Alligator mississippiensis: one gene and its partners. The protein of the gene in region 4 interacts with the protein of the main gene of each other region in a biochemical or structural test. Links are inferred from orthologs where the notes say so. Each region holds a gene or a part of one and is shown on either strand. Other genes may lie near its edges.

Evidence for each region.
Region 1: the proteins of PKP4 (region 4) and DLG1 interact in a test that uses a peptide from one of them, tested with the Homo sapiens proteins (2 studies listed by IntAct, with this or other methods). The link is inferred for Alligator mississippiensis from reciprocal best matches to the Homo sapiens genes PKP4 and DLG1.
Region 2: the proteins of PKP4 (region 4) and PDZD2 form a complex in vitro, tested with the Homo sapiens proteins (2 studies listed by BioGRID and IntAct, with this or other methods). The link is inferred for Alligator mississippiensis from reciprocal best matches to the Homo sapiens genes PKP4 and PDZD2.
Region 3: the proteins of PKP4 (region 4) and ERBIN form a complex in vitro, tested with the Homo sapiens proteins (4 studies listed by BioGRID and IntAct, with this or other methods). The link is inferred for Alligator mississippiensis from reciprocal best matches to the Homo sapiens genes PKP4 and ERBIN.

Annotation. Positions count from the first base shown.
Region 1 is NC_081830.1:89,480,289-89,487,854, reverse strand, and holds the start of DLG1 (disks large homolog 1), read right to left. Parts: upstream 3,013-7,566; 5' UTR 2,880-3,012; coding exon 2,861-2,879; intron 2,731-2,860; coding exon 2,599-2,730; intron 1-2,598. UniProt on the Homo sapiens protein: Essential multidomain scaffolding protein required for normal development. Recruits channels, receptors and signaling molecules to discrete plasma membrane domains in polarized cells.
Region 2 is NC_081826.1:281,623,031-281,630,279, reverse strand, and holds the start of PDZD2 (PDZ domain-containing protein 2), read right to left. Parts: upstream 3,003-7,249; 5' UTR 2,916-3,002; intron 1-2,915.
Region 3 is NC_081826.1:260,483,016-260,490,846, forward strand, and holds the start of ERBIN (erbin), read right to left. Parts: upstream 3,015-7,831; 5' UTR 2,833-3,014; intron 1-2,832. UniProt on the Homo sapiens protein: Acts as an adapter for the receptor ERBB2, in epithelia. By binding the unphosphorylated 'Tyr-1248' of receptor ERBB2, it may contribute to stabilize this unphosphorylated state.
Region 4 is NC_081827.1:222,273,566-222,281,190, reverse strand, and holds the start of PKP4 (plakophilin-4), read left to right. Parts: upstream 1-4,615; 5' UTR 4,616-4,723; intron 4,724-7,625. UniProt on the Homo sapiens protein: Plays a role as a regulator of Rho activity during cytokinesis. May play a role in junctional plaques.

The DNA of each region.
Region 1 (7,566 bases), on a different chromosome or scaffold from region 4:
CTCAATATGGCTCTCTGCTCCCTGCCCAACTTGCTGCTTTATTTCTGTTGCCTGACTAACAACTACTCCACTTGGTGCCCTTTTCCCTGCCTCCCACTGTGGTCCCTGCTACCCAGCCAGGGTGGTGCACAGGACCTGGGGTTGGGCCTGTGAGCAGGTCAGAGCCACAGGTGGCTCATCCAGAGGGGCGTGGGGGAGACAGTAACTCCCCACCACTGCATGCACCCCCTTGGGGAGGTAGGGCATGTGCCCCCCCAGACTTGTGCCTAGACATGGGCTCAAGGTTCTCTGCTCTGCTGCCTTTCCCACAGGAGCCCCACACCGGCCCCGCATTGCCTGCCTGTCTGGCAGCAGTGGGGGCAGCGAGTTGTGTGCCCCACTGCTGGGTGGGCAGGGGGCATGGGGCCAGCATGGAGCTCCTGGGGCAGAGCGCCCTGAGCCCACAGAGAGCAGCCCACATCCGCCTTCACTCTGCTCAGCTCAAGCGTCCCCGCACTTAAAAATGGTGGCGGCAGCACTTGAACTAAAGCTCATTCCATGAGCTTCAGTTCAAGCACCCCGCTGCCAGTTTTAAGCACAGGGATGCTGATGCATGTGACGCAGGAGGCTGGAGTGTGCCAGAGAACAACAAAACAAACAAAACCAAGGTTTATTTCTGTCAGTACTTCAAAATGCCTTGCATTATTACTAAATATCAGTTATCAGATCGGCATCAGCCAATATGGTTGGTTAATAATTGGCTATTGGTATCAACCAAGAAAATCATTATCTGTGAACCCCTAGTTTCATTATACTGCATTCCAATGTTTTATTCTGTTTTTATACATTATGTAGTTGCTGTAAGCCACCCTGAGCCTTCTCTAGAAAGGGTTGCATATAAGCGTAATCAAAACACAGATGTTTTTCCTCTTTCATTAGAAAATAAGTCTTACAGGGTTAAGACACAATACTCCTCTTGAACTCAGTTTGCATGCCATGCAGCTTTAACCTGTTCGAGCAAGGCAAAGAGCTCTAAAACTTCTGTAAAAGTAGTTCACCTTAAAGCAACAACGAGAGCCAGGATGTCAAACTGCTACAGTCCCTCACATCGGTGCTATCTGCAAAAACAGATCCTTGTTTCTACATCCTGCCAGCACATATTCCTTTTCTTTTATATAGTATATACTGCAACATAAGCACTGGCTTGGTGTTTCATGAATTCCTGTATTGTTGATAGAGATAGCTTATATAATATTACAGACAGTATTAGAGCAGAAGAGATCACAGTATCAAAGGCTAATGCCATAGAAAAGACGAGCTCCTTTAGCCTGATGAAGCGTCATTATGGACATTTAGGGGAAGAAGCTGGAACAGGTTTCCTCCTTGTTTTCTAGAAGGAAGGAATAAAGAATAAACTTCTAGGAATTTCTAAGAGGAAAATCCATGAGCCATTATAGTAAGTTCCAACAAAAATAATATGGCAAGGGAGCGCAAAAAGGGGTGAGAAAAAACCACAAACTCTTGCACAACACCAAGTGTGACTAATATAAAACTTCACTAGTTTGATCCACCACAGAGGGCTCGTACGCCCATCCCTCAAAGTCAGCCAAGCCTTTCTTCATGAGACTGACTTCTCCTTCGCGAGCCAGATGAGGGATGTTTAAGTTCACAAGTTTAAAGTGGTATTAATGCAGGACTTCCATTTCGGAAGTCGACAGCGAAAACAGTCACTGTATCATAACCTTTTTTATGGAGACCGAAGCGTAGGAGAATGCCAGACAAGGTTACAGGAGAAGAGTTGAAAGAACTTGATTGTTTGACACAGCACAGCCTAAAACAAGCACTAAGTCCCAATATCAACCGGGACCTATAGAGCAGCCCGTGGGCGAGCAGCAGCCCCTGGCACCCTGCTGCTGCGCCCACAGGACGGTCTGGGGGGCGGCAGGCTGCGCGCTGGACCGGCGGGCAGAGACGGCGGGGGCTGGGGCCACGCGGGTCTGCTCCGGGCTCCACACCCGTCGGCCGGCCGGCCGCGCGGCAGGGCCAGAACACGAGTGCCCCCGACCCGCGGCACCGCGCGCTCAAGGCAAGGAACAACCCCGAGACAAAGGCACTTCTAAGAAGAGCTTTGCCCGTCCATGCTGGCAAGTTAAATATGACTTATTAATGACAGGACTTGGTTCCTTGCTGCCGGCGAGGTGAACGCGCTCTTGTCTACGCAGCCGCACCCGCAGGCCTTCGCCTCTCATGTTTTATTGGGAAAGATAAGAAGTAATAAAAAACAAAAAAAACAAGAAAAACTTTCTCTCCCTATTTCTCCCCAGAATAGGGTCACGAGGAACTTGGCTGAGGAGAAGGGAGAAGCGGGGGACGAAGCTCCAACACCGACCGCTCCGGTGTCTCTCGGAGGACTCGTAGGGGGCGGCGAGGGGGGCCGCGCGGCCCGGGACAGCGCCCGCCCGCCCGCCCGCCTCTCCGCAACTTTCCTGGCGCCGCGTCTCGCCGCCGCGCCGCGCCGCGCCCGGCCGCCCCTCCCCTCCCCTCCCCGCTCCCGGCCGCCGGCTGAGGCGCAGCCGGGCCCTGCTCGCGGCTTCCCCGCCCGGCCCGGCCGACACTCACCGATGAGCGCCTGGAAGAGGCTGCTCTGGAAGATGCCGATGACGCGCTCGAGCGAGCTCCGCAGCTGCCGGTCCTCGGCGTGGCTCAGCTTGGCGCGGTACTCCTCCAGCAGGCGCAGCGCGCGCCGGGTGTCTGCGGGCGGCACGGCACGGCGCGGTCAGCGGGGGGGCCCGGCCGCCCGGCCGCCACCGCCCGCCCAACTCGCCGTGTCCCCCTGCCCCCGCCCCGGGCTGTGAGGGGCCCGCTCCCGCCGCGCCCCCACCTTGCTTCCGGACGGGCATGGTGCCGCCCCGCCCGTCCCGGGGAGCGCGGGCGGGGGCGGCCCCGGCTGGACTCGTGGCGGCCGCGCCGCTCCCGCTCCCGGTGCTGCCGCCGCCGCTCCGGCTCCGCCGCCGCCGCCTCCCGCTCGCGCCGCTTTGAAATTCCAAAGTTTCCAGGCAAAATGGCGGCGGGGCCGCGCGGCGCCCCCACGTGACCGGCCCGCGCCGCCCAATCAGCGGCCGCCCCGCGCGGGGCCGGGCCGGGCCCGGGGGCCAGGTGAGCGCTCCCCCGCCCCGCCCCGCCCCGCCCCGCCTCAGGTGCGCCCGGCCCCGCCCCGCCCGGCCCCGCCCCGCCCCGCAGGCCCCGCCCCGCCAGCCGCCGCAGCGCCACGAGCCGGGCAGCCCCCGGCCGCGACGGGTCCCCGCCTCCGCACCCGCCCCGGCCACGCCGCCACGGGCGTCGCGGGCACGTTGGCACATTGGCACAGGCATCGCGGCCACAGGCATGTTGGCACGGGCGTCACGGGCACGTTGGCATGGGTGTCACAGGCACATTGACACAGGCGTTGCGGCCACAGGCATGTTGGCACGGGCGTCACGGGCACGTTGGCATGGGTGTTACAGGCACATTGACACAGGCATCGCGGCCACAGGCATGCTGGCACGAGTGTCACAGGCATGTTGGCACGGGCATCACGGGCACGTTGGCATGGGTGTTACAGGCACATTGACACAGGCATTGCGGCCACAGGCATGCTGGCACGGGTGTCACAGGCACGTTGGCACGGGCGTCGTTGGCACGCCACATCGTGGACATGCTGGTGTGGCGTGGCGTGGCATGGCACGGCACGGGCCACCCCGGGGCGGGTGCAGACGGCGCTGGCAGCCCGACCTCCAGGACGGGACCTGTTCTCCACGCAGGCGGGGTGCACCCAGGGGGTGCGGGTCAAGACCCCCACGGCGGGGGGCCACACCCCTGCTCCAGCCCCCCAGTGCAGGCAGCCCAGCCCAGCCCGCCTAGCAGGGGCCTCCGGGGCTGAAGTGCCCAAAGCAAGCACGTGTCAGCCCCCCCTTCCCCTTCCCCCAGCCCGGACCTGCCTGTACCCCCACCGGCCGCCCTTTCTCCCCGTTGTGTTGTGTGGGGGGGGGGGGAGCTGGAGGCAGCCTGGCTGGGCCGGGGCTGGGCTCAGCGGGGAGGGGACCGGCAGCAACAGGGCAGCCGGGGAGCAGTTCCCCACGCCGGCCCAGGCAGGGAGGGGGAGCCCCGGCCATCCCTGCTGCTCTTTCTCCCCCCCCCCCCCCCGACCAGGAAGGGCTCCAGCGCTTCCCGTCCCCAGGACAGCAGGGCAGGGCAGGAAGGAAGGAAGCCAGGAGAGGGGGAGGCGGTGTGTCTTTGAGCAGGAAGGGGGAGGGAGGGAGGATTTTCACCTGCTCTAGGAAGTCCCCCACAGTGCGATCCATGCCCAAAGGGGGGTGCAGCCATGCCACTGTACCAGTGCTCAACTTATGGGGGAGCTCGGTGGGGCTGAGCCGGGCCATAGGACATGACAGCCCCCCTGTAAAATTTTAAAATCATAACCGGGGGGGGGTGCCTCTGGTTTTATTAGGGCATCATGATGGGCAGCCCCATTTTTTTTGCAGACCGCCCCCCCAGAGTCAAAGTGCAATTCGGACCCTGCGCTGCACCCTCAGGGATTTGCCCGACGGTGCCACGGCTGTCCCAAGCACAGGGAAAGTCTGTGATGTCTCAGCTACAGTTCTGTTGCAATTGTGGGAAATGGTGACTTTTTCTTGGAAACCCTTGTCAGTTTATTGAAAATGACAGAATCTTAGGTTTTGTGAAAGCTGATTCTGAGAAGAAGGGAAAAAAAGGGAATGTGGAATCTAAATGACTGAACAATACCGCATCCAATTCCTTGATGTCATATTAGTTTGCATTGCAGACTATTTCTAAATGCCAGACAGAATTTGGCTTTCTGTCCTTCGAACAGCAGTTCCTTGTTGTAGTCATAGGAATAGCGGTACTGTACTTTCATCGTGGCTCCTGGGAGCCCCGGTCATGGGCTGAGACCTCATCGTGGTAGGTGCTGCGCACGCAGAGCAAGACAGACCTGCCCCAGAGAGAGCCAACAGGAGGAGATGAGAAGAGAGGCAGATGGGGCAGCACCATGCGTGAGACAGTACTGGTCGGCATGATGTGCAGGATTCATAGAAGAGACAGCCAGGGGACAGGGGAGACTGTGGCAGATGTACAGCCTCTCAATCAGAACCTCCTAGACCTTAAATGCTGGAGGCTGCAAGAGAGAGGAACAACAGGAAAAACCCAGGTCAGACCCAGTTCACTCCCCCTTCCAACATCTGCACTCTGCCCCGTGTGACAGGAGATGGGGCAAGATGGACCTATGGTCGAGGCAGCTGCACGGGGCAGGCGGGAGGGCTCAGCTGCGGGTGGCGATGGCACTGGGAGGGTGGCTACGGGGGCTAAGGCAATCTTTGGGGTGGCTGTAGCCCCCAAGCACCCCTAGCACCACCCCTGTGGTCGACTCAGTAAATGGCAGTTCTTATGTTCTGTTTTTCTGCCTATAAAAACATGACAGGCGTGGAGAAAGCACATGGGGATTTGCTGTCTCTTACAATACTAGTGTGATGGGACATACAAAGAAATCATCAGGAGGTAGCTCCGAAACAAAGGAAAGGAAGATATTTTTCACACCGCAGGTAATTAACTTGTGGAACTCGTTGCCACAAGAAGTTGTAGAGGCAAATAATTTGACTGGGTTCAAAAGGGGATTGAGCAAGATTAATGCAGAATCTGGGAAGCAAATGTAATAGGGGTACAACCTGCAAATTAGGACTTCCTGGGCCTCTGAAGGATGGAAGCTACAGTGAAGGAGGCGCAGAATCACAGAAGTTTAGGGCTGGAAGGGACCTCATGAGATCATTGGGTCCAGCCCCCCTGCTCTCGGCAGGGAAGACTGGTGGGGTCAAATAACCCCAGCAAGGCGTGCGTCCAGGCTCCTTTTGAAGATTTCCAGGGTAGGTGCCACCACCCCGCTGGGAGTCGATTCCAGAGTCTGGTCACACGAACCGTGAAGAAGTTTTTCATTAGATCCAGTCTTAAACCTTCTTCTAGGAGTTTATGACCGTTGCTCCTGGTTTCCCCCTGGGGCGCTTTGGTGAATAGTTGTTCACCTAGCCCCTGATTCTCACCCCTGATATATTTGTAAGCTGCCACCAAATCCCCCCGAAGTTTTCTCTTTTCTAGGCTGAACAGTCCCATATCCGTCAGCCTTGCCTCGTATGGCTTGCTCTTCAGGCCTCTAATCATACGAATGACTCTTCTCTAGACTCTCTCAACTCCTCCACATCCTTCCGGAAGTGCGGCACCCAGAACTGGATGCAGTACTCCAGCTGCAGCATCGTGAATGCCGAGTAAAGCGGGAGAATAACTTCCTCAGTTTTGTTTGAGATACATCGGCTGATGCATGACAGACTATTGTTTGCCCTGCTAACTGTAGCATCACACTGGTGCTCATATTCATTTTATGGTCAGTGATGACCCCCAGGTCCGTTTCAGCCTATAAGTTTGTTGCGGATTTTTCCTCCCCAGATGGAGCGCTTTACACTTCTCAGTGTTGAACAGCATCTGGTCCTGGTGCTTTTCCCCCTGGCAGCTCTACAGGTCAGATCCAACCCACAGGTTGCAGATCCCTGTGCTAGGTAGTAATGAAAACATTGTATAAAAATACCCACTTAATCTACAGCTGCACAAATTCTTTCATAGAACCGCTGAGCAGTGGGGCCGGCAGGGAGCTCCGGAGGTCACATCTAGCCCAACCCCCTGTCTGAGGCAGGATCAGCCCTGTCCAAACCAACCCAGGCAAACCTGTCAATCTCAACTCCACGCGAGATGACCATCAACCCTGACACGACACAGACCTCACACCCAAACCTGCCACGAGTAAAACGGGAGCCACAGCAGCCAACATCCTAATTCTTTCTACGAAATGTCAATATATGCTCAAGAGACCCTGGGGGAGTGCCATGCCCACCACTCTCGAGGGAGGAATTTACTGTTACACGTTTACATTTACTGACCTGCATTTCTCATTCTCTTTTGGGCAGATTTTCCTACTCTTGCCTGCAGAGCTTTGGTACTGGAGTTGTGATGGCTCACACATCCTTTGTCCAAGCTTTTTAAAGAAATCCCTGCTGGGAGGAGACAGCAGTAGAAGTCCCTGTTATATGATCTCATTAGTTCTAACACAATCCCCATTTCCAGCAGCAATAAAATGAACCCTAAGGGGGGCTTTCCTCCTCTTCATGGGGGAGGAACATGCACGCAGGAAGGGAAGCAGGCCTATTATTACTAGCATTTATAAAGGATCTGCCAAGGTAAGGGTGGTTTGCTAAGTGACAAAAATGTGGCCCGAGCAGAGGGAAAGAAATGCACCACGTGCTTCTCCAGTGATTGTGCAAAAGAATCCACCATAAGCAACAAGTTCATTTCTTTGTAAATGGAATCCCCAAATCTGAGCAGGATTTTTTTTAATGAGAGAATCTTATTACATTGGATCCTGATGCTATGAGTAATGATAAGAGTCTCATACATAGCTCTGACACTGCACTCTCCCCTTGCTGAGTGGTGCTGGAAAAAATCAAATGAGGCCAGAGTGATGGATCAACAAGCCAGGAAGCAATCATTTGA
Region 2 (7,249 bases), on a different chromosome or scaffold from region 4:
TGGCAAGATGTGCAATGCAATCTGGAACTTCAGATTTTGCATTTCCTGACTTTTAGATTTCAGTTCAGCATTAATGGTGCATTAACAGATGTTTGGGGGATTTTTGTACATTTTATATAATGGATTTTGTAAATGGGCTTTGGAATTCCTTGGGATAAAAGCACTATATGCATTATCTGGAGATGGGCACAAAAACAGTTAACAGAATTAAAGAGCAACTCCTATATTGACAACAGCAGTTATACTTTAGAGCAGCATTTCTCAATTTGTGAGTCACAGCCCAAAAGTGGGTCACAAAAATATATAAAGGGTCGTGAACAAATTTTAAAACTGGATCAACGCCTTTTAAAAATCGATTCTCCTTTAAATGAGAAAAACATGGGAAACTGTGGCTTTTCCTTTGCAGGCTGGCAGAGTTCCAGCCTGCAAGGGGCTGCCTGGGTGCCCCCGCTACCCCACACACCTCTCCTGCCCTGGGGGGTTGGGGCATGGGGGCAGGGGGCAGTGGGTAGGGAGTGAGGGGCACTGGGTCAGGACTGGCCATCAATGTTTACAAGAAAAGTCCTGGTACAAAAAAGGTTGAGAACCATAGCATTAGAGCTCTCCTGCATCATAAGACTTCTTCCTCTAAAACTCTGGTTAATATTCACCACTTTTAATTTGCAACTCAGCTGGCCTTTCAAGAAGTAAAAGGTGTTTCCTATCAGGATTAGAGTCTAAACAATAATAAAAAAAACCCCAAAAATTACTATTACTCATTTACAGCTGTTATTTTACTTTGGTTTTGAAAGGGAAAACTTTACTTTTTTTAAATTAAAGAGGGAAAAAAATGAAGATTTTTAAAAGCATACTACAAACCTTGGCACGGTTGAACTAAGCCAGGTCTGAGATGGTCCTTACCTGTCTTTCAGGAAGGACCCCAGAGTGACACTGGATAGCTTCATCCATTTTGTTTCACTACATGAGACTCGTGGCACAGATTGGGAGGTACTGGCTCGGCTGCAATACTGTAAGCATTCAGACGAGATGCCAACCATTACTGAAATACCTTTTTGTTAGACACCAATGATCCAGGGGCACTGATTTCATTCAGCATGGCTGACATGTGAGCTTGGCCTTCCTAGACAGTTTTGAAGTAATTTAGATGGGATGTACTATGGTCTAATGGAGGAGACGTGTCTACCACCTCAGAGCTCAGGCTCCCTTGTAACCTTTACAAATTCACTCTGACCCTGGCTGTGGACCCACATAACTTTAAGCAGGAAGAGAGGGATAGCTTGCCACTCAGGGTATGGACGCACATACATCTGGATTCAAAAGGGAAGCGGCTGTTATGTTCCAACCCTGAGGTCTGAACAGGCTGAGAGCCCTATAGATGTAGGAAAACCACTCCAGCTTCAACCCTGGATGAGGCAGTGTTAAGGTTAGATCAGTTTTGTCCCATCTGTATCATCCTTGGCTTGCCCAAAGGTAACAATTAAACCAGAACAGCTGCTGCTCTTTTGGAATGGCTCCAAATAGAGGTGTGTCCATATCCCCAGCTGTAACGTCTGTCTACTCCTACACACTAAACCCCCGTAACTTTATAATAATGAATGAAACAGATTTAAAGTTAACATTTACAGCAATCTAAGTTCCCTATACCAGTATAGAATCAGACAGGCATAACAGATTTTATTCAGCTATACCTATAATTTAATGCTGGTATCACTACTGTATCTGTCTACACCCCCCCATTTTTCAGATTCCCGCTGACATACTGACATGAACACACTCCCCCAAGAAGTGTATGCTGAAGAATAAAGGAAGAACAATTTTACCAGACACTAAAATTATCTCTCTCTTGTGGGTGAAAAAAAAGTTTGTTTTACTAGCTTTATGGGTCAGCAGAGAAAATACTCCTTCACTAAGTTGTTGTTTCTTTCTTCCATCAGCCTGAGGAAAAATCAAGATGAATCTAACAAGTTACCAGCTTTTTTTTCAAAAGAACAAATTTTAGTTGCCTTCATGTCAATGCTAAAAGTCTTCCAAGGCTTTAAGTACTGTACTGTGACTTGAACACAACCTTGGCGAGTTGTTAAAGGGGTACAAAAGCCTTGGAAACATTGCAAAAACCTCAAATAGAGCCATTTTGAACCCGAATCTAAAAAGAAAATCAAACAATCAAGTCAGCTTGCTCACAAGACTTTTCTAGTCGCCAGTGAGCATTATAAAACATCAAACCATACTGGGATTTCTGTTGGACTAAGCACTAGCAGATGAACGTGGAGCGTACATAGTACATTGCAAGTCCACCTCGCACACATACTTGTTGTGCACTTTGGTTTCCAGAGGACAATGTCTTCAGGAGTGAGGCAAGACTCTCCCCTCCATTCGGGACTTTACCTGGCCATGAGAAAAATCTTCCAAAGTAATAACTATGTGGGATAAGCCATCAGAAAGAGTCCACAGAAGAGCAAGAAAAATGAGCAGAGATCTAGAAGGCAGGAAAGCTGGAAGAACGGGGATTATTTCACGGAGAGGAGAGAGGATCTAGGGCAAATATAGAAAGAGTCTTCAAATACAAAACTGGGGGGGCTCGGACCACGCAAAAAAGTCGTGATCACCTCGGCAGCCACAGGGGACAGGAGCTTAAACTGCAACAAGCAGGACTGCGGTGGGCTCCGGCGCTTGTGGGGACACGCTAAGGACAGAAAAGGCATGTCAGGGGCTGGAAGAAAGAAACACCCTCAGCTGCAGAGCCCGAGCAGCTCTCAAACTTGGCACGTCAGAGCTGAGGGGGGGAAGCCGCTTTCTGCACCAACCCCCCCCCCCCCAAAAAAAACCCCAAATCTCACTCTGCCGAGACACTTGAGCGCCGGGGAGGCCGGGGCAGGCGCGGGGGAGCGGGGCCGGCCCCGCGCTCACGCACTCACCTCCCCGCGCGGCGCGGGTCCCGCGGGGGCGGCTCGTGCGGCCGCTCCGGCTCCGGCTGCGCTCGGCCCCGCGTCCATGGGCAGCGCGGGGCCGCCGGCGCCGCCTCCCCGGGCGCGGGCAGCGCTGAGTGGCGGCCGCAAGCCCCGCCCGCCCGCGCCGGGGCACAGCCGCCACGCGCGCCCGTCCTCCCCGCGGCTCCTCGTGGGGCTGGCGGCTCTGCCCCCTGCAGCTCCGAGCACAGTGCCCCTCTCATGCAGGAGCCACCGCCTCCCTGCAGTGGCCTGGGAGCCGCGCCGTGCCTGCCCCGGGCGCGCTCGTGCTGAACCCACCATCCCCGTTTTGTCTTGTGTTGATTCCGCAAGCTCAGTGGACGCGCTCCGTAACCCCGTCCGGTAGCGGGGCGCGAACCCTTGGCCTGTGGGAGAAGGCCCCTGTTCCCCAGAGGCGTCGAACAGGCCCGTGCGTGTCCCGCAGCCCCGCTGGGGAGCCGCTGGGCATCGTGCGGGGCGCTCTGCTTTGTGTCCGCCCTTGCCGCACTTGTTTTGAACCTAGGACCTCACTCCTCTTCCTGCTTTCTCTTTCGTTTTCCCACAAAACCGATCAACTTATACCGAATAACGGGACGGGGGGCCGTCAACCTTTGCCCCACAAGTGTTAACCCCATGGTAACCCTATGTGTTAAATAGGCTTGGGTCACACAGTCCACTGGCTCCTTGGACTCGTTTGGGGCCAGTGGGCACTACCCCGTGTACTCTGCTCCGTTCCCCCCTTTGGCGCACTCAGTCTGAACCTTTGACCATCGCTCCCATCCCTGTTTTGCCTTTTCTTTTCCCAATAAATGTGGTCTTATTTTCTGAGCAGCAGCCCTTTCCAAAGGAGGTTTATAGTTCTTGGTGGACAACGGCCCATGATCCCTTGACAGTAAAACAGTCCTGTGTCAAACAGCGGCAGAGAGGGAGGCTGAAAGTGGCAGTGAAGTACGTCTGACAAGGGGTTTTTTTTTCTGTTGTTCCTCTCTCATTTGCAGCCTCCAGCATTTAAGGTCTAGGAAGCCCTGATTCAAAGAGAGATATATGGGGGAGGGGGCAGAGGTAGGAGAGGAAAGCATTAAGTCCAGAGGAAGAAAGGGGTCACAAACTAATCCAGGGAATGTAATAAGAATCCACGTCTGTATTGCACTTAGACCATACTAAAGGCACATAAAATGCCAGCATCTGCACCTTAAAGCTTCTTAACTTGTACTAAATGCCCTCTGAGCATCTCAAAGTTATGCTATTGCAGATGTGGGTTATCTCTGGGCCATGCTACCTAGCTCATGTTAGGTAACTTCAGGCTCCTCCACAGAGATCAAATGAGCAATTTGTAGTCCTCCGGCATCCCAGGATGCAATGCACCCTAGCCTCCCCTCATACCCAGAGCAGAGATAAGGGCAGCCCTCATGTAGCAAGTCAGAGCTGCTCAGGCAAGAAATGGTGTTAACTCTTGATAGGCAGCCGTTCACAGCACGTTCTGACTCCAGTATCATTCAACATTAGTACGGTCTAAGTTTACTGTGTAACTTAAGTCAATGCATGATCGTATCCTGTCTTTTGGTGACTGGGCTGAGGAAGTATCACTAAGCCAGGAAAAGGCTAGATCATGCTAATCCCTTTTAAACTGTTGCATGTCACTCAGAGGGCGCTTCTACACATGTATTAAAGTGCTTTTCCTAATGCACATTAAACTTAGCACCTCCAATGTGAGGTACTAAATTAATGTGCATTAGACTGCCTTCATGTGCAGTAGTGCCAGCACATGCTTTTGAGGTGACACTTAATGCTCAGTAGCCTATTTTACTGCACATTATCATATTAGCACTTTTTTTACGCACCACTTTAATAATCAGTAAAATAGGCTATTTTGCATTAAAGTGTATGTGTAGACATACCCAGAAATATTTACTGAAGCCCTCCCTGTTTCCCCAAGGCCCTCATGTATATTGTGCAGTGTCACGGTTTCATAGGCTCAGAGTTATTTTTAGAATTTTTACAGATCCTTTAAAAAGTCTCTTTCTCCTTTCTTTTATCTCCTGCTTTATCCTCAGAAGGGATCTGGGTGTTTGGGAAAGATTGTACAAGTCTGAAATGAACAGTGACTTACGCTTAGAACATAAATGTAAGTTAAATTATACCTTACCTAAAATAGTCTTGTCTTCCTTCCCTGTTTTATTACTAACTTCAAATTATTCAAATTGAGCATCTTAAAAATCCAGTTTGATTTGTGCTCTCTGATTTTTGCATTTTACTCCTTCTGGACACTGAATCATAGAATTACAGAAAAGCAGGGTTGGAAGGGACCTCCAGAGGTCATCTAGTCCAACCCCTTGCATAAGGCAGGATCATCCTTATCCAAACCATCCTACACAAATCCATTGTTAGCAAAATTATACAGTTAACCTTGACACAACCACAAGACATAACACTTTAACCTGCCACAGGGAAAGCATGGAGAACACAGGAAAGGGAAATGTCCAGCTTTATTTCATTTCTAGTCAATTTCTCTTTGTGAGTCTCATGCCACGATGTACTAGGATTTTCAGACACAGACAAGGAATAGTCAAATTAAAAAGAACTGGGGCATAGTAGTGTCCCTTAAATGTTTTCTTTATTAAAACTATTTTAGATTTATTGCTTTTTAGTCTTTCTCTCTTACCAGGTACAGTGCCTTATCATACTTTGAGGGTGATGGTTTCTAGTTATTTTGTCAGAAAACTGACAAGGAAAGTTTAGCATTTAAACCAGTGAGTTGTCTGGCAACACTTGTTGCAAAAACAAAAATCTCAGCATAAATCCATAGGAGTTAGGATTGGTCTATACTTGAAATTCAAAGCAGGTTGACTTGAGGTGTAATCTGTGTAAGTACCACGTATCCACAAAGAGCCTTTCTTGTTCTGAATCAGATGGTGGTTGAACAGATGGAAAACCTGGAAGATGGAAAACCTGGAGGAAAAATTTACCCACAATGAAGTAAGTGTGGATGCTTCTTCATCTCATGGCAAGTGTTGCATGTCTTCCAAGACCTTCCACAATGTCCCATGCTGCCTTACTAGCTGTCTGGATCACCTGCCCACATGTCATCTATTCCTCTGACTGGATGGCCCCAGCAAATTTAAATTCTGGTACATAGCAAGACTCCATCCTTTGTAAGCCCAGCTCATAGGGAGTCCGGGTATGTGTGTCATACTCCTAATTAGTCACTGCTTATGCCTTGCACTGTGGTCCCATACTGAGATGCTTCTGTGAAGACGCTTTATTTTGTCCACCTGACCAATGGTAACACAGAACAGGTAATATAAACAATATGACAAATGCTGAGTAAGGAGCCAATAGGGGACAGTTTCCAATGTTGCATAAAGACAAAGGCGCTCCAGCTGGCCTGCATCAATGCTCAGTGCACCATGCCCTTAGAAAGAACTAGCAGTCTGCTGTCACCATAGGGACTTTGCTAGTCCAATATTCCACCAGCACCTTTTGCGTGGAACTTCTGGAGGCTGAAAAACAAATGCTGGATTTCTTCGAGACAAAGCCTTTTGTTCTATGATCCTACAGATGTGCAAGCCCATTGTCCCACTTTAAGTGCCTGTGAAGTACCTATGAAGTATCAAGATAACACTCCCCCCTAAATCACTGCTAATCTGAGTTACTTGCTATTCAGGCTCCCTGTGTCTTATGCTTGTTTTGATGCAAGGCGAAGCCTAGGACCTGGGATAAACCCAACATCTATTTTTAGACTTAGTGATCCAGAAACTCCACATCTTATCAAACCAGTGAATCTGGTAAACCCAGAGCAGGACAGAGTGACAGAGCACCTGAACCCTCTCAAATCACAGGTGGGAGAGAAACCTGATACACAAGCAGAGACCAGAAATGATACCATTGCATGAATGAACCAGGGCATGGTTCTTAGACAGGCATGTTTATTGGAGCAACACATGCAAAAAAGAAAAAGCCAAGCATCATATTACCAGATCAAGTCCTAGATCCAGCAGAGATACCCTTGTAATCACTGGTCTGCCTGCTACAGAGGTACCCCACTGAGGTAGCCAAATCCCCTATCCCTGCAGCCAACCCAACATTATGTACTCCTTTTCCCATGTTGGCAGTTGTTCTGTGGATACCCCTTTACACCACAGATTCAATGGGTCTTACATAGTTCTTCCTTAGCTTTCCCCCATAGTGCTAACATATAAAGGGACAGAAAGAGAAGATAGGAAAACAGAAATACAGACAATCTTGCTGGAGCACATGACATTCATAGTTTGCACAGCATTATGAAAGTGCCAGAGAGTACCTTC
Region 3 (7,831 bases), on a different chromosome or scaffold from region 4:
CAAAAACTGCCAGAAAGATCTGCTGTACCTCTGTGTGTGTGGTATTTTCCAGTGAACGTTTTAATCAAGAACATCATCTGTAATCACCTACATTAAATTGCCTGCACAGCAAGCATGTTCCCACATGGATCCAATCTTTTATTTTCAGGTTAATAAAAGTAGTTTTATCTCCCAGTTATTTGGAAAAGTTAAACCAAAACTTCAGTAACCAAACCAGCTATCAAACCCACCAAAAGAAAATCAGGTGATTCCAGAAGTGATGGAAAAAAATCAACACTTGGTGTTCACACAAACTTTTCTCTTTTTCCCCTAGCAAAGAGAAAGCATTAATTATAAAAGAAAAAAGAAAAATATTTCATGAACAGCCCTAGGTAAAATGAAAAGGAAGAAATGTCTTCCTATTATTTCACTTTCAGAGGAAAGCAAGGAAAACTGTACCAAAATGCTGATGTCATAAATGTAAAGAAAAATATTTTCTTAGTAGCCATACCATGAATATAATCAAACTTAGCCAAGAATCTAGAAAGCATTAAATACATTCTCCATGTTTTGGTAGTATTGAGCTGATGTAGCTTTGATGAACCAGGAAAAATGTGGAAGGCAAAAATTTTTGTCCATGATATCTTTTATTGGATCAACTGTATAGCTGGGAAGGACATAGACAAGCTTTCAGGTACCACTGTACCCTTCCTCATGTCTTTTGAGGAAAGTAACCTGATAATCTCACTTATACCCTGTTTTTATTAAATGCATGGAATTTTGCACAAGCCTGTATTCTCTCTGCTATGCATCTTTTATTGGACCAACTGGAGCTATTACTCCAAAAGTCCTTGCCTCTTAAATATAACCTAAACTCAGGAAAAATTAGCACTGTTATTACTTTAAAGTTGAACATCCAACGACTTCCCCCCCACCCCCCATCACCACATTTTATAGCTTTTCCTCCCCAAAAGCTCCTAAAATCAACTCTGTATGAATTAGACTTAGAAACAAGATCCTACAAAGTTCACTTATGTGCCAAAAAAAAACTTAAGTAACTTAAGGCTGAGAATTGGAAGAGAGATCTCTTTACGATTGCTGTGTTAACCATGTTTTATATGCCTCTGACACAGTATTTTGGCACATTGGCAATTAAAAGTAAATAGGTGATCATGCACATGCAGAGAGAGCATAACTCAATTTGGGGGATTGGGAAAGCAGTACATTAAGTGAAAATATTTCAGTAACAAAGGAATATATAATTTTAAAGATTAAACAGTGAAAGTTATGGAGGGTGTGGTACATAAGCTACCCATACCAGAGACAATGTTTTATACTACATAACTAAACTGAACAAAACTGTCAATTAAAAAATATACTGCCATGTATTTTTTAAAACATTAAAAGACACTGCTGATTACCCAAAAGGATCAGCTTCCTGATTACAACTAACACTGTGGCAATGAAATGAATGGAATTCTATGACGTAGCTCTTAGCTGTAAGCAGTAGTGAATTCCACTTTCATCATTAAAGAAGGGCCTTATCATAGCTACCATGGTGACAAAACACTAGTGTAAAACGTTGCAGCCCCAACTATAAGGATCTATTCTCCTGCACATCATTGAAAAAATATGAAGTGTATCATCAGACAACCAAAAGGTCTGAAAAAAAACAAATTTCATCCACAAACACACTGATTTGCAACTACTTTTGTCATGCACTGCTACAGTTCCCCCCCTTAGAAACTAAAGTCATTATTGGGAATGAAGCACTGCTTTGGAAAGTGATCGTTCTTTGTAAAAGGATTACTCTATTTAGGCTTCAATGCTTTTCTGCCAAGCCTAAGCCATATAAGGAAGCTGAAGTTCACTGCCATCTATTTTGTTCCAGTCCTTTCAAGATGTTTATTGCTGCCTGCAAAGGTAAACCTGTAAGCTGTACACCGATCAGATGTTTATTACCGATATACCTGGTGTCTAAGATCAGCTGAAAGTTGTCATTTTTCTACTAAAAAAAAAGCTATCAAACCAGTCTGTCAGACGAACAAAACTTTCACACAAAACACAAAGCTGCCTCGTTATTTAACTGGTGCCTTGTCTACCTCTGACCGCACTCAGACCCAGGTGTAGGTAAGTTCACACAAAAAGGAAAGCTTAAGATGCCTTGCTGCAAAACTCAAAACTGACCCCCTCCCCCACCCAATCCTCAACACCACAAGCAGCCGGCACTGTACACCCTACCTCATCTCATCGCTCAAAACAAACCGCTGTCTGTCAGGTTCACCTCACAAGGGACAACGGCAATTCCCACTGGTTTCTACCAACGCAAACAAGCCACTCCACAGCCTTGGCTTCCCAGACCTTTAAAAAAAAAAGTTCACAGCTTCCTGCTTCCTGGACATCGTCTCTCTCTTCCCTGCTCAAGCAGCGCGGGGACCCCGGTATATCTAACATGTGGCAGCTGCTCCTTGAGCCCCCTTAAACCAGAGCAGGCCGGAGAGCGCATAGAAACTTGGCTCCGTAGCGGTGTGCCGGCTCCCCCACGGCGCACAGCAAGCAGCAGCCACGACACGGACGTAGCGGAGCCCCGGGGACGGCGCCCGCGGGCTTCCCCGAGCAGTGCCGCCGGCAGGCGGGCGGGCGGCCTCCACCTGGGCGCTAGGAGCTGGCGCAAGCCCAGGCTGGAAGTTGGCTCCGGTCCCCAGCCCCGCGCCCCGGCAGGGCCCGGCCGCCATCCGGAGCCGCCTACGCGGAACAAAGGAAGTTGAGCCCCGCGGGCCCCGGCCGCACAAAGGGCGGCATGAGGCGCCGCCGCCCGCCCCACGCGGCTCGCCCGCCCCTCGCCCCGCTCACCTCGGCCCGGGCCCGGCGCCGCTGCCGGGAAGCGCCACTGCCGCCGCCGAGCTTCCCCCACGGGCGAGCGGCCCCGCAGCACCAGCTCCTCCCCCGCGCTAGGCCGGTGCCGCGCCGCGCCGCGCCGCCCAGGCCCCTTATTGTCCTGCCGCCGCCGCCAGGGGCCCGGGGGCCAGCGCAGCCCCGCCCCGCCCCGCCCCGCCCCGTCTGCCCCTCCCTCGCCCGGCGGCGGCGGCGGCGGCGCTGGGAGCGCGGCTCGGGGCGTTCGCTGCCTCCGCCTCGCCGCACACGGCAGCGCCCGCACAGCGCCGCCCAGGCCGGGGGGGGCACTGCAGCAGCGGCGGCGGGAGGTGCCGTCTCGTCTCGCCTCGCCTCGCCTCGCTCCCACTGGCTGCCTGCGAGCGAGTGGCAGCGAGGTCCGCCAGTCCGCGCCCGGCCTGGCCGCCGACAGCCAATGGCTCCGCGCCGAGGGCCGGGCGTAGCCTGGCTGTGACGCGGAAGGAAGCCGGGGCGGTGCTGGGGAAGGGGCCCCGCGGGTTTCTCCCCTTGGGCGCGCGCGGGAGCTGCGGTGGGCGCCGCTCGCAGCCCTGGGCGGCAGGAGCCGAGTGGTTTCGGGGAAGCTGGCCTGGCGCGGGGAGGAGGCGGCGGCGGCTCTCCGGGCCACCAGCACAGGCCCTGCCGTGGGGCCTCTGCCCGGAAACGGCCTGCGAGTTGAGCTGGGCTGGGCTGGGCTGACGGTGCAGCCAGCAGAGACCTGAGGAAAAAGGGCTGGCATCGGGAAGCTTGTCTGCCTTTATTCCAACTACGTAGTTGGCCCAACAAGCCATCATCACCCTAAGGAGTTCTCACTTCTGTTGTGGCAGCCCCAGGGCGACACATAGCAGGTGCACGGGCACCCCTTGAGCATGGCAGGGCACCCTCTACGCTGTCCGCAGTGCCTGCAGGCGGGCACCACTCGCCACCCCGCCGCCCACACCACCGCCGGTGAGTGAGGGTGGTCGCCAAACCTTGGTGCTTGCCATCCTCCCCACCCTGCCAACAGTACCCGCGGCGTCTGCGGGATCTCCCTCGCTTACCACAGCTGCACTCCCGCTGCCACCGTGCCCTCCCAGCCAATGGGGGCATGCACTGCTTGTGGCAGGCAAGGTTCTTTGAGTAGGTGTGATATCTTTTATTAGACCAACTGAGTAGCTGGAAAAAAAAAAGTTTACAAGCTTTCAGGCACAGTCACCCTTCGTCTGACTGTGCCTGAAAGCACATAGGCACATAGGGAGTCTCTGCTGGTCTAAGACTCCAAGGAAATGAGAGAAGCTAAAAGTATGACAGGATGTCAGTGACAATGTACATGGGTGGAAATTAGGAAAACAAAAGGTAGGGAAGGGAAGAGAGGGGAAGAAAAAACAGGAGAAAGCCTGAAAGCTTGCATAGAACTTTTTTCCAACTACTCATTTGGTCTAACAAAAGATATTGCATTTACCCAAATAACCTTACCTGCCTATGTCTTTAGACCAACATGGCTACAACCAAAAACCCAGCTTGCTTCTGTTATAATTTATGGACCATCACTTCTACACTTTCACGAACTCTAATGTATCACCACACACAACTTAACAGGAACCGCAGTTCACGGTCACCTGGCTTCAGAACTCCTCTGCATGTTCGCACTCAACAACATGTTGCACCAACTGTTTGTTACCTTTTCTTTCCTTGAATGCTCCCCCTCCCCCCTGTAATTTAGCTGATTGACTGCTTTTGCCGAATCCTAAAGGAAGTCCTGGAGCCTGCAATTCTGTTGTGCTGCAAAGTGGACAGCACAGGCAACAGCAGGGCAGACTTCTACACGCTGCTCACCTTATGTTCCCTAATTGTGTTCTAGGGGGACCACCTGTAAGGACAGAGGGAGTTCAGTTTTCATGCCCATTTAATCTTTGGCATCTCTGCTGGGACTGCCTTCAACTCTGCCAATAATTTTCTCTTGTCAAAACCTGTTGACTAAGAATGGGACTAAACATCAACTTGTTTTTATAAGCCGCCTAACAGACATCAGGTAGTAATGACTTGTCACTATCAGCCTACATCTGAGTCCAGCAGCCAGCCTAAAGATGAAAAGCTCCCCAAACCATTTCTAACCGTGCGGGCCACCATTTGACTAATGTTTGAAGTGCTGGTGAGGGTAGTTTAGTTTACAATAGCAATGAAATGCAGTTGATCATATTTAAATAAATACACGTTTGTGCCATTCAGAGGTTTTATTAGAATGTTCTCATGTGTGAATGGGAATTGCCCATTTCACTGTCTAATGTCAGACATCTGGACATAGGAACTTGACATGCATGTATATCAGCACTATGCATTAACTTAGTTTAGCTCAACTTATTTCTCCTCTATTTCTCAACTAATCCCCTCTTCTCAATTTAATAAAGCATACATTCCTGACTTAGAGCTACATTTATGGCAAGCTTCAAAATTTAAACACAATCACTGGAACCAGAGTTGGAAAAAAAATCCTAATTTTTCTTCCTTGAAGTACAAAATCACCACTAATCTCTCATGTTCACATAAGCTATTTTCTTCAAATGACTCACATTTGGACAAAGACCAAGTATGAGAACCTTTAGTCCTTAAAGTTAAAAGTGCTTGAAAACAGAGGCATAGAATTAAAGTACTTTCTCATTTATCAATAGAGTCACTACAGTGATGCTACAATAGAATTGCTGAAGTTTCACCTTGCATGAACAACTGAGAGTTCCTTTCTGATAGCAACACTGTATCGCTATAATTAACGTTATTACAAGACTATACTTCTCTCTGGTGACCTACTTATTTTCATGAACAATTTGAGGCACCTACCTGGAGCATGAGCTTATCCTGCCTTTTGTTTATGGTGGGATGGTTGTGTGGCAATGTTTGCTGTAAATTACTTAACACATCTGCTAGTGGAGTGTAGGAGATTCACAGTGGCTGTCATTCCCATGCAAGATCTACTATTATTTCATTTATAGTTTCAGGGTAAGATTTAATTTTACTTGTGGTATGCACCATCCAAACCCAAACAATATAACCACAAATTTTAAAAAAAGTATCTTAGATCAGAGCTCCTCGAGACATTTTATACAGACAAGATTAAACTATTTACACAAATTACAAATATACCAAAAGTTATCCTAGGGATATAAAACGGCTATAAATATCAGAATAGTATTTAGATTACAGCTAAAGCACAGTCCACTGCAAAAATTAACTCCCAGACTTGGTATTCCAGTTACCACATAATTTACATGTTAAATATACAACATACAAACTCTAAAGTAATATAGCAAGATATCTTTAGATGGGGCCATGCACATAATTCTATGGAAGGTTGAAACAAATTCTTTAACTAGGTCTTAGGCAGACAAGGTTCCTTGGGTGAACCTTGTCTGCCTATGTCCTTAGACCAACACGGCTACAACCTACACCCCTGCAACCTGGAAGTTAACTAGGTCTTGATACTAGACACCACACCCAAAGTTTTCTGATTCTATATTTAAATAGCAAGATTAGCAAATATTGCAACAGCAAACTACATAACTGAAAGAAGCTGCCAAAACAGTCACATCTAACATGTATTTTTCTAAATTAAAAAACTCAAATGATTCAGAACAGTATACATATTGCTGCACCATGTAACCATATGTTCTTATTCCTTGTTGCTCTTTTATGCCTACTGTTTGTTACACTCATTTTCTGCATCTTTTCTTAACTTGCATTTGTATTCTAACTAGCATAATGGGCCCCTGATTCTAGCTGGTATTTCTGAATATCACTACAATACAAATACTAAATCGTAATTATGAATTAATATTAATAACTACAATTAAATGGACTAAATTAACTAACAGGTCGTGATGCTTGTTTCCAAGCTGGTTATGGACAGGACAGTAAAGCATCTAGCTCTTACAACTGTCCCTCCCACTGGTGGTACAGTCTTTCTAATCAAACAGTTTAAAAAATGGCGCTTTTAAAAATTATCTTTCTTAGGATTATGACTTAAGTTGCATTCCACTTTTTGACTAAAGTCTGCAAACACCTAACAAATCAAAACATTAAAACCATCAAATTGTACGAGGACAAATTTTAACCAGTTCTGTTCCAGAGAGATAAATCGTACTTTTGAAAGAGCCACCTGGCTACCATGTAGAAAATTGCTGCATTATAGAAGAAACACCCCCTCCATGAATTGCACACCACTGTTTATGACATACCATCCCTCCCTGGATCCTATATGGAAAATCCTCAAGCAGTACTAGAAGGAGACCCTATTTTTAAAGAGTTCTTTCCAGAACCACCTATCCTAGCTTTAAACAAGCACCGAACCTCGCCAACTTCATCACCAGAAGCAAACTTCCTATGACCCAAAACACACCAAATGGATCCAGACCATGCTATGACAAGAAATGTAAGACCTGTCAACACATCTCTACCACCCCCACAGTTCCTATACCCCACAACAGAACCATCAACGTTCCTGGATCTTACATCTGCATCTCCAGAATTGCAATACATCTCATCCAATGCACCGATTACCCTGATGGAAAATATGTTAGAGAAACCAAATAACAACGGTGTACCAGAATAAACACACACCGAAAATCTATCAAAGACAAGAATACCCAGTTACCTGTGGGAGCACCTCTCTCACAAGAAAACCAATCTCTCAGTTGTAATCCTCAAAAGGAATTTACAAACAACTTTTCACAGACGAACCTTTGAACTTCACTTTGTCAGTCTACTGGATACAAAACATAATGGAGTAAATATAGACATTGGATTTATGACACATTATAACCTGCCTAACATCTGACTCCCCAGATTACCTGGTAAAAAGTGGAGAGTTTTTCTCATTCTCTTCCCCCAACTCTGTATCCATTGACTACAGCTACATTCATTTCCTTCCCCCCCCACCATCTGTCTCACCTACTGACCACTTCAATTTACATTTTAACTGACTGACTTTCTT
Region 4 (7,625 bases):
ATATGGTAACCAAATAAAATTAAGTAGAATAGTGAGGTATGGCACCATTTAAAAAAATGGGAAAAAAATGCTCACTGAGGAAAAAAAAAATGTCAACTCAGTGTTGTGACATTATATTTGGAAAACAAACTTCTTATTAACTTGGATTTATTTCACACTCACTATTTACTGCATTTTAACCAACTGTGGTTTACAAATGAGCCAAAGGTGTATCATAATAGTTTCAATTGTCTTGATTTCCCTCTATCTCCATTCCCCCCCCAAAAATATTTAAAATCATTTTAAAGCAAACTAAGTTTTAACGAAAAATAATTTATATTTTTTCTGTTGTGAATGCTAAATAGCTCTTCATTTGTTCAGATGCACTCTCTCCTCCAAATACTTAAAACATATTCAAATTCTTGTAACTTCAGCATCTGAGTTAGACGATAGATAAAATAAATACAGCTAAGCAAAACCAGAAGAACAAAGCAGAACTGTTTTCAAGACTGCTATTTATCTTTATAATCCTTCCTTTCCAGAAAGCAGGTCCTATGTAGCTACTACTCTACCTACTTATGAGCAAAGGTACTTCTCTTGCTCTCATTCAAATAAGAGATTCCAGGTAGTTGTGAAAAAGTAGAAGTATCAACTGACATTAAAAACTGGTCATGCTAATATTCTTCAAGCACCGAGAACATCTGTGAAAGCCCAAGTTGGAATCTGGCTTTAATTCCAGGGCAGGTTAAATGAAGCAGAAAAACATTAATGATTTGAAAGATGCAAGAATCATAGCAAGAATAGAACTGTCAAATAGCAGTCAACTAAACTTCTTGTCCAAAAAAGTGAAAGATACAATGAATCCTGGCAGAGATCAGATGAAGAGGTCACAGCAATCCAGGTAGCTTTAAGAGGGAAAGGACATATACACTCAAAGATTCACATAGTATTTGCTAACAAATACAGTGGAGGCAAGGTCCTTTCCTAATGGCACTGAGACTGTAAAAAAATACTCACAAATCAAATCCTGAAGAAGGCACAAGAAGAATTAAAGGATGAAAGCTTAAACCAGACAAATTCAAAATAGAAGTGCTGCCAGGATTTTTACGAGTAAAATTATTAACCATTTAATTGCACATCAAGGAAAAGGGTAAATACTTCAGCTCTTAATATCTTTACATCAAGTTTGGATTTCTTTATAGAAGATATTTTGACCTAATAACTTATCTTTGCTTCATATAGAATCTTAAGCTAAATAAACAAGAGGGATCACTGGTTTTATTTTTTAAATACATGAATGCATGAAAGCTTGCTTAATAACTATTCTCCAACCATTTGGGTTGGTCTAATAAAAGATATCAAATTCACCCAAGGAACCTTGTCTGCCTATGTCCTTAGACCAACATGGCTACAACCTAAACCCCTGTGACTATGACTAGTTATCATTAACTTACTGTGTTTCACTGGTAAAACAGAAGTGCTTCAACACCCTTACAAACCTAATGGAACCTCACAAAATAATTCCTTGTCTTTCTATTACTTCCAAAGAAGCCAACCCACATCTAGGGTGCCTACAGATGTTTACGGCCCCACTCTAACTCGTGGCACTTTATGTAAAGTGCCATGAGTTAGAGGCCCTGCCCCAACAGAGGGGTAGGGGCTGGAGCCTGCTTGCCCTGGCCAGCAGATGGGACCCTGCCTCTCCCCTCCCCTCAAGCTCTGGGGCTATCAGTGGGAGAGGGAGGAGGGGGAATGGGTTTTTGCTTTGTGCTTATTTTATCCAATAGGCTTTCTTTTGCTTTAATTCTGTGGGTCTAAGATAACATGACCGGGGAAACTCAGGAAAATAGAGATTTACACAAAATACATGCATCTTTCTTTCCCTAAAAAAAAAAAAAAAAAAAAGCCAAACAGGAAGTGCTCCTCAGGTAACAGGGAACATTTTAGCACTTTTCCCAGTCAGAGCATATATTAAAACCTCTTATGATTTGAAGTTTCTTACAGTATGTATTTCCATAACCAAACAACATATACGTTTCATTAGTTTTCAAAGAAAAAGAAATTAGACATGTCTATCTTCTTCTTTAGATGGTATGGGTTGATTTTTAGGTACCCACATACAATTCTGACACTCCAAAACTTTGGGAGGTCTGAGTTTGGGACTGGGTCCTGCCACTGTCTCCTTCCTATCATCTAGGAGGAAAGAGGCACGTGAACCCACATACAGTGTGTTAGACACTACAGGCTACAACTCAGCTGACTGTCTACCTTCCCCACTAACTGGAGGTAGGATTTCTCACAAGAGTTGCTGCCCTACAAAGTTGAACTTAAAGCAGAATCTCTTAGGCTTTGGGTCTCAAGATCAAGTAGAAGAGGAACTCGGGCTTCAACACTACCAGCAGTAGAAGTCACTCTCCAGAGTTTTGACTCCGGTGAAGGGCTGAACATATGCAAACAATTGATTTATTCCCTCAGGACAGAGTTGTCTTTTGGTTGTTCCATCTTATGAACTGTAATTTAGACTTTTCTGATTAAGAGAACACACATTTCTGAACAGCCACCTCGGCCATTGCAATGGCTTCCTAGGTGCTTTATCCTTCTCCTGGACTTTTTCCATTTCTGTACTTGCATAAGTTTCCCCAGCATTTAATTCACAGCCACTCGGCCTTTTACGAGTGTCCCTTCACTCCACTAGGGCTGACACTAGTTGAATGCTCTGATGTGCTTCAGTGTCCACAGTAAAGGAAGGCACTGAACTACTCTGAGAAGTTACCAGTAAAAGCTAAGCCAATTTGATCATTCAAGTTTTGCAGCAGTTTGCCTGCATTGATTTAATATTGATGTAGTTAATCCAGTCATCTTTAGCAACTATGACCAATTAGCTTCTGGAGGGACAGATATTTCTTTTCTTTCCCTAGCACCGTTTCTATTACTCCTCCCACAATTGCTACTCCATTTTCTACTCCCCTTTTCTTTTCTGGTACCTCTTCTCAGTTAACTTGCTTTCCTTCCTCTTTGCCACTCACCTTTTCTTTAATCATGTTTCTCTTCTCCCTATTGACTCATGTTTCCTCCCCCTTAACCTTGCTTTCTTACACATGTGGGATTTCACAGATTGAACACTTTGGGCCTGATTCTCCATTGCCCTGCACTTTGGATAGTCAGTGACACTTCTGCAATTAGGCCACCATTCTGGTGTGGCAGCGTCAGAAAGGCATCTGGAACTGTGAAGAATCAGCAACCCTATTTATACACACCAAGTTATTCCCTGCAGATGTTTGATCAGATTTCTTCCTGCTGACTCCTTTAACCTATGGCAATAACAAACACTACAGAGACAAAAAACTTATAACTGTAACCAGGAGGAAATACAGAACCAATCGGTATATCTATTTTCAGAAGCAAAAGGTGGGAAGACAGAAATCACATGTGCAAGAGATGCCCCTCCTCCTTCAGAAATATAGATGACTTTACTCAGGGGTCAGCAATATATGGTCCACAGGCCACACCTGGCCTCTGCAGCCATTGGATCCTGCCTGTAGAGCCAGGGGGCCTTGCCCACAGCTGTGCTGGGCAGCAAGGAGCTGAGCCAGGATCAGGTGGAAAGGGGTGAGCTTGTGCTGCACCTAAGGGGTAGGGAGAAGAAGCAGAAGGGAAGAGCGGTGGCAGGGTTGGGACACTGGCCCACCTCAGACCAGACCGAAGCTTGATTATTTCCACCAGGGGCTCCAAAAGATTGTTATCTGCCGCTTGACATGTTTAGCTATTCCTTGTCTTTCAACTGCCATACAGTAACCACCCAAGAATAAGGTGAAGGACATAGCCACAGCACAGAAAGACAGCTAAACACTTACCCCAAAATTCAGTATAAACACTGCTTATTACTCACAGGAGTAGCCTACACCTCATTAAGGCCTGCGGCCTTGTTTTTCCGGAGTGGCCTAAGTCTTTAGTAAGGATCCTGGAACTGACAAGACCTCTAGTTTTAGGGGCTCCCCAGGCCTTGATACTGAGGGAGCCAAGTCAGTTTCACCCATGAGGGAGTTAAATAGATACAGCACGACAATTTTTACCAAGGAGAGCGAGAGGGGGCCCAAGGCTTAACCACTTCGGTGTTTAAAGGTCACAAAATATCAGACATTAAGTCAGTCACTGATTCAGGTCTGGATCCCAGGAATTTGGGGAAATTAAGGGAAACAGGGGAGAAAGAAAGGGAAAGAGAGAGAGAGAGAGAGAAAGAGAGAGAGAGACGTCTCCAGCAGCAGGATTTGAGACTGCAGCGGCGGGGGGAGATTGGACGGAGGGCAGCAGCGAGGAGGGATAGATGCAGGTAAGCGCGGCTGGCTCAGTCCGCCCACAGACCCGCAACCGCCTCCCCCGCACGGACCCGCAACCTGCCGCCGCACACACCCGCGCCCGGAGAACCCGCAGCCCCTTCCACACAGCCTGCTCACAGCATCGGTAACCCTGGCAACCTCAAGTCACCGCCTCATTGGCTGATTTCACACGAGGCAGCGACCAATGGCGCGCGGCCCTGCGCGGGGCTCGGCCAATGGCGGCGGGGCACGGGGCAGGGCGTCGCGTGACGCGCGGGGCGGGGGGCGGAGCCAGCGGGCGGCCAGGAGTGGACGCGGCGGCAGCGGCGGCACCATGGAGACCCCGGGCTAGGGCCGGGCGCGCGGCGCGGCGGGGGCTGCGCTGGGCCCGTCCGCGCCCGGACCCCGCCGGCGCCTGCATCTGCGCGGTGAGTGCGGCGGGCGCGGGGACTGGGCGCCCCGTCCCGTCCCGTGCTGTCCCGTCCCTTCCCTTCCCGCTGCCCCGAGGAGCCTCCTCCGGCGCGGCCCCGTGGCCAGTGCTCGGCTCCGCAGCCCGCGCTGTGCTCGGCCCCCGCGTGCGGCCGGGCACGGGGCGGGGCGCTGCCGGGCTGGGCAGGTGCGAGCCGCGGCTCGGGCGGGCGCAGGAATGCGAGGAACGCGCCGGGAAGGAGCCCGCCCGCTTCCCGCAGCCGCAGGGCCCCGGAGCATCTGCCTGGCGGCCTCCCCGCCCGCCTGCGCCGCGCTCAGGTTAGAGGCTCGCGGCACTTGCCCGCCATGAGATCAGTCCTGGACTCTGCCCCCCCCCCCTCCTCCCGCGGCCTTTGCTTCCCGCGCCAAGTTGAGCTCCTGCTTGAAACATGCTGGGGCTCCGGGGAGGTCGGACCAGCCTGGTGCCGCAGCGCGGCCTCCCCTAGCCCTTGTGGCTGCAGGGTGTGGGAAATTGCTGTCGGTGCCTGGACACCTCTTGTTGTCTCCTGAATTGCGGCTTTTCATCTTCCTGAGCCGCAGCGAGACCCCCATATCTCACGTCACTCGAAGGAACAGAGAGGCAGTGTTGTGGCAGGGATGGGACAGAGAGGACGGTCTGGCACCGGGAGCTGTGCACGGGGCGTGTCGGCCACCAGCTGAGACAAGGCAGCACCGCGGCAGGAGACCGCTTGCCACCATGTCTTCTCCCACCGTTACGCTCTGTAGCCCGACGGGAGTTTTCATTCTGCTGCTCAAACCATCGTAGCTGCTTCTCTGGGTGTTTGCCAGGGGGTGATTTGGAGCAGGTGGGAGAGGAGCGGAGGAGGAAGAGGTTTTGCCAACTTTGGTAGCAGAATGCTCCTGAGCGTGGTCTAATAGCGGTTATTTTTTGTCTGTGGCTTTTCTTTCTCTGTGAGTTAAAAGGTAATAATTACAATGGTAGACTGTCTTAGAGAAGTCAGGCTGGAAGGGAACCCCAGAGGTCATCTAGTGACTACACTAGTCTAACCCCCTGCCTGAGGCAGGATCATTCCTATCCAAACCGTCCTGTACAATCCATATGTAAGACTGCCATCGAATATGATGCAATACAGACTTGGCACCCTAACCTGCCACAGGTAGAGCAGGGGGACTGCAACAGCCAACCTCTCGCTTTTATGAAATGTCAGTACAAGCTCAAGAGATCCCAGGTAGAAGGCCATGCCTCCACTGCAGAGGAAGGCAAACCCCCTTACAGCCCAGACCGATCTGACCATGGGGTAAAATTCCTTTCTGTTGCCAAACATGGCAATCGGTCTAACCCTTTGTAGAGGGACAAGACCCTGTAGTTGGAAACCTCAGGAGGAGCATTGGCACAAATCAGTCAAAGTCTACATAGCATTTATCTAAAGAAATCATAGTAGTAGCTAAATCAATTCGGGGACTGTTATGCCTGCTGCTGCTTTGACACATTGTTTTGGACAGTTTTGTTACTAGGGCATCATGATCAGAAGGATAAATTTAGCTATTTGGAATCTGTTAATCAGTGTGGAGAGTGGTTAAGAAAAGAGGAATATATTTCTCCAGTAAACTCATAGCATTATTGAACTGCTTTAAATCCAAAAGGTCTGAGATGATTGTTAGTTGCTATGCGTGTTGAGCACAACTAAAGGATTAAATGTGTGGCTCTCTCTTCCCATGTGACAACCACATATCAGTACCCAAATCTTAGAGATATTTTTCACTCCTAAAATATTCCTTGTTGCTGAATATAGGGAGCACAGCTATGGATTTTCCTGCCTGATCAATAAGCAAAATAAACGGAAGAAAAATGACAAATACCTTCAAACAAGCACTTCTGACTGACTGTAATGACGCATGCAGATGTTTTATAGCTGACACATTGTGCCTCTGAGGATGGATTGCATTTACTAGTTTGCCTGTGTGTATACTAATCGGCAGGAGTCATACAAAAAGTGTAGGCATATTGGTAGACGTGATTTAGTAGGTAGAGCATGTCTACCCTGTCTGGATTAGGGGTTCTGAGAGGGGAAGAAATGAAAGAGTGAAACGAATTCTGAAGTTGTTGAGTCTAAGATGTTGCAGCACAAACTAATATTTCTGTGATCAATGGGTGCTCCCAGTGTAAAATTCTAAATTGTGTATAGGAACACTATATTTTTTGCAGGGGGGACAAGTAAGGAGGGAGGGGAAGAATGCTCTTTTTTCAGATGCCAACACACACACAAAAATCTATAGGGCAAATGTACTGTTGTATTTTCTAAGTATGTAGTCCCAAGAAGACTATTCTATGCTTCCTTTCTAATCTTCCTCTACATACTAATATTTTAAACAGCAGTCCAAACCAGCATGTGGTATATAATTATGTATAAAACTAACTGCTTGAAGCAATAGGTGTGGTATTAGTAAAGGTAGTAATATTTTATAATTTGCCTTTAATTCTCTTGATGACTGTAAATTTTTTTATAAATCCTACTTGAAGAAGGGAGACCAGGAAAGGAGAATAAACCTTTTTTTGCCTTATTGAATAGTTTTCGGGGGGAGGTGGGGGGGTAGAATTATTTTTTAATGTGGTAATTATTTTTGGCAATTCTTTTTAAAACTTAAAATTGGAGCATAAGATTATTGGAACATAATACATATTTTGGTGAACAGCATCATCTTGCAAATCACATCTATTCTCAGAGGGAGAAATACCCCAAAAGCAAAAACAAGAACAACCCTGCTCCCCTTCCCACAGTTTTTGCCTTGGAAGCTGTATTAATTCAGTTGTTTTTAAAAAATATTCATAAAGGACACTTGCAGTATGCTACGTGCATTTTTAATTTAGTTGGTTCAATCAATGCACTAAGTATTTTCCAA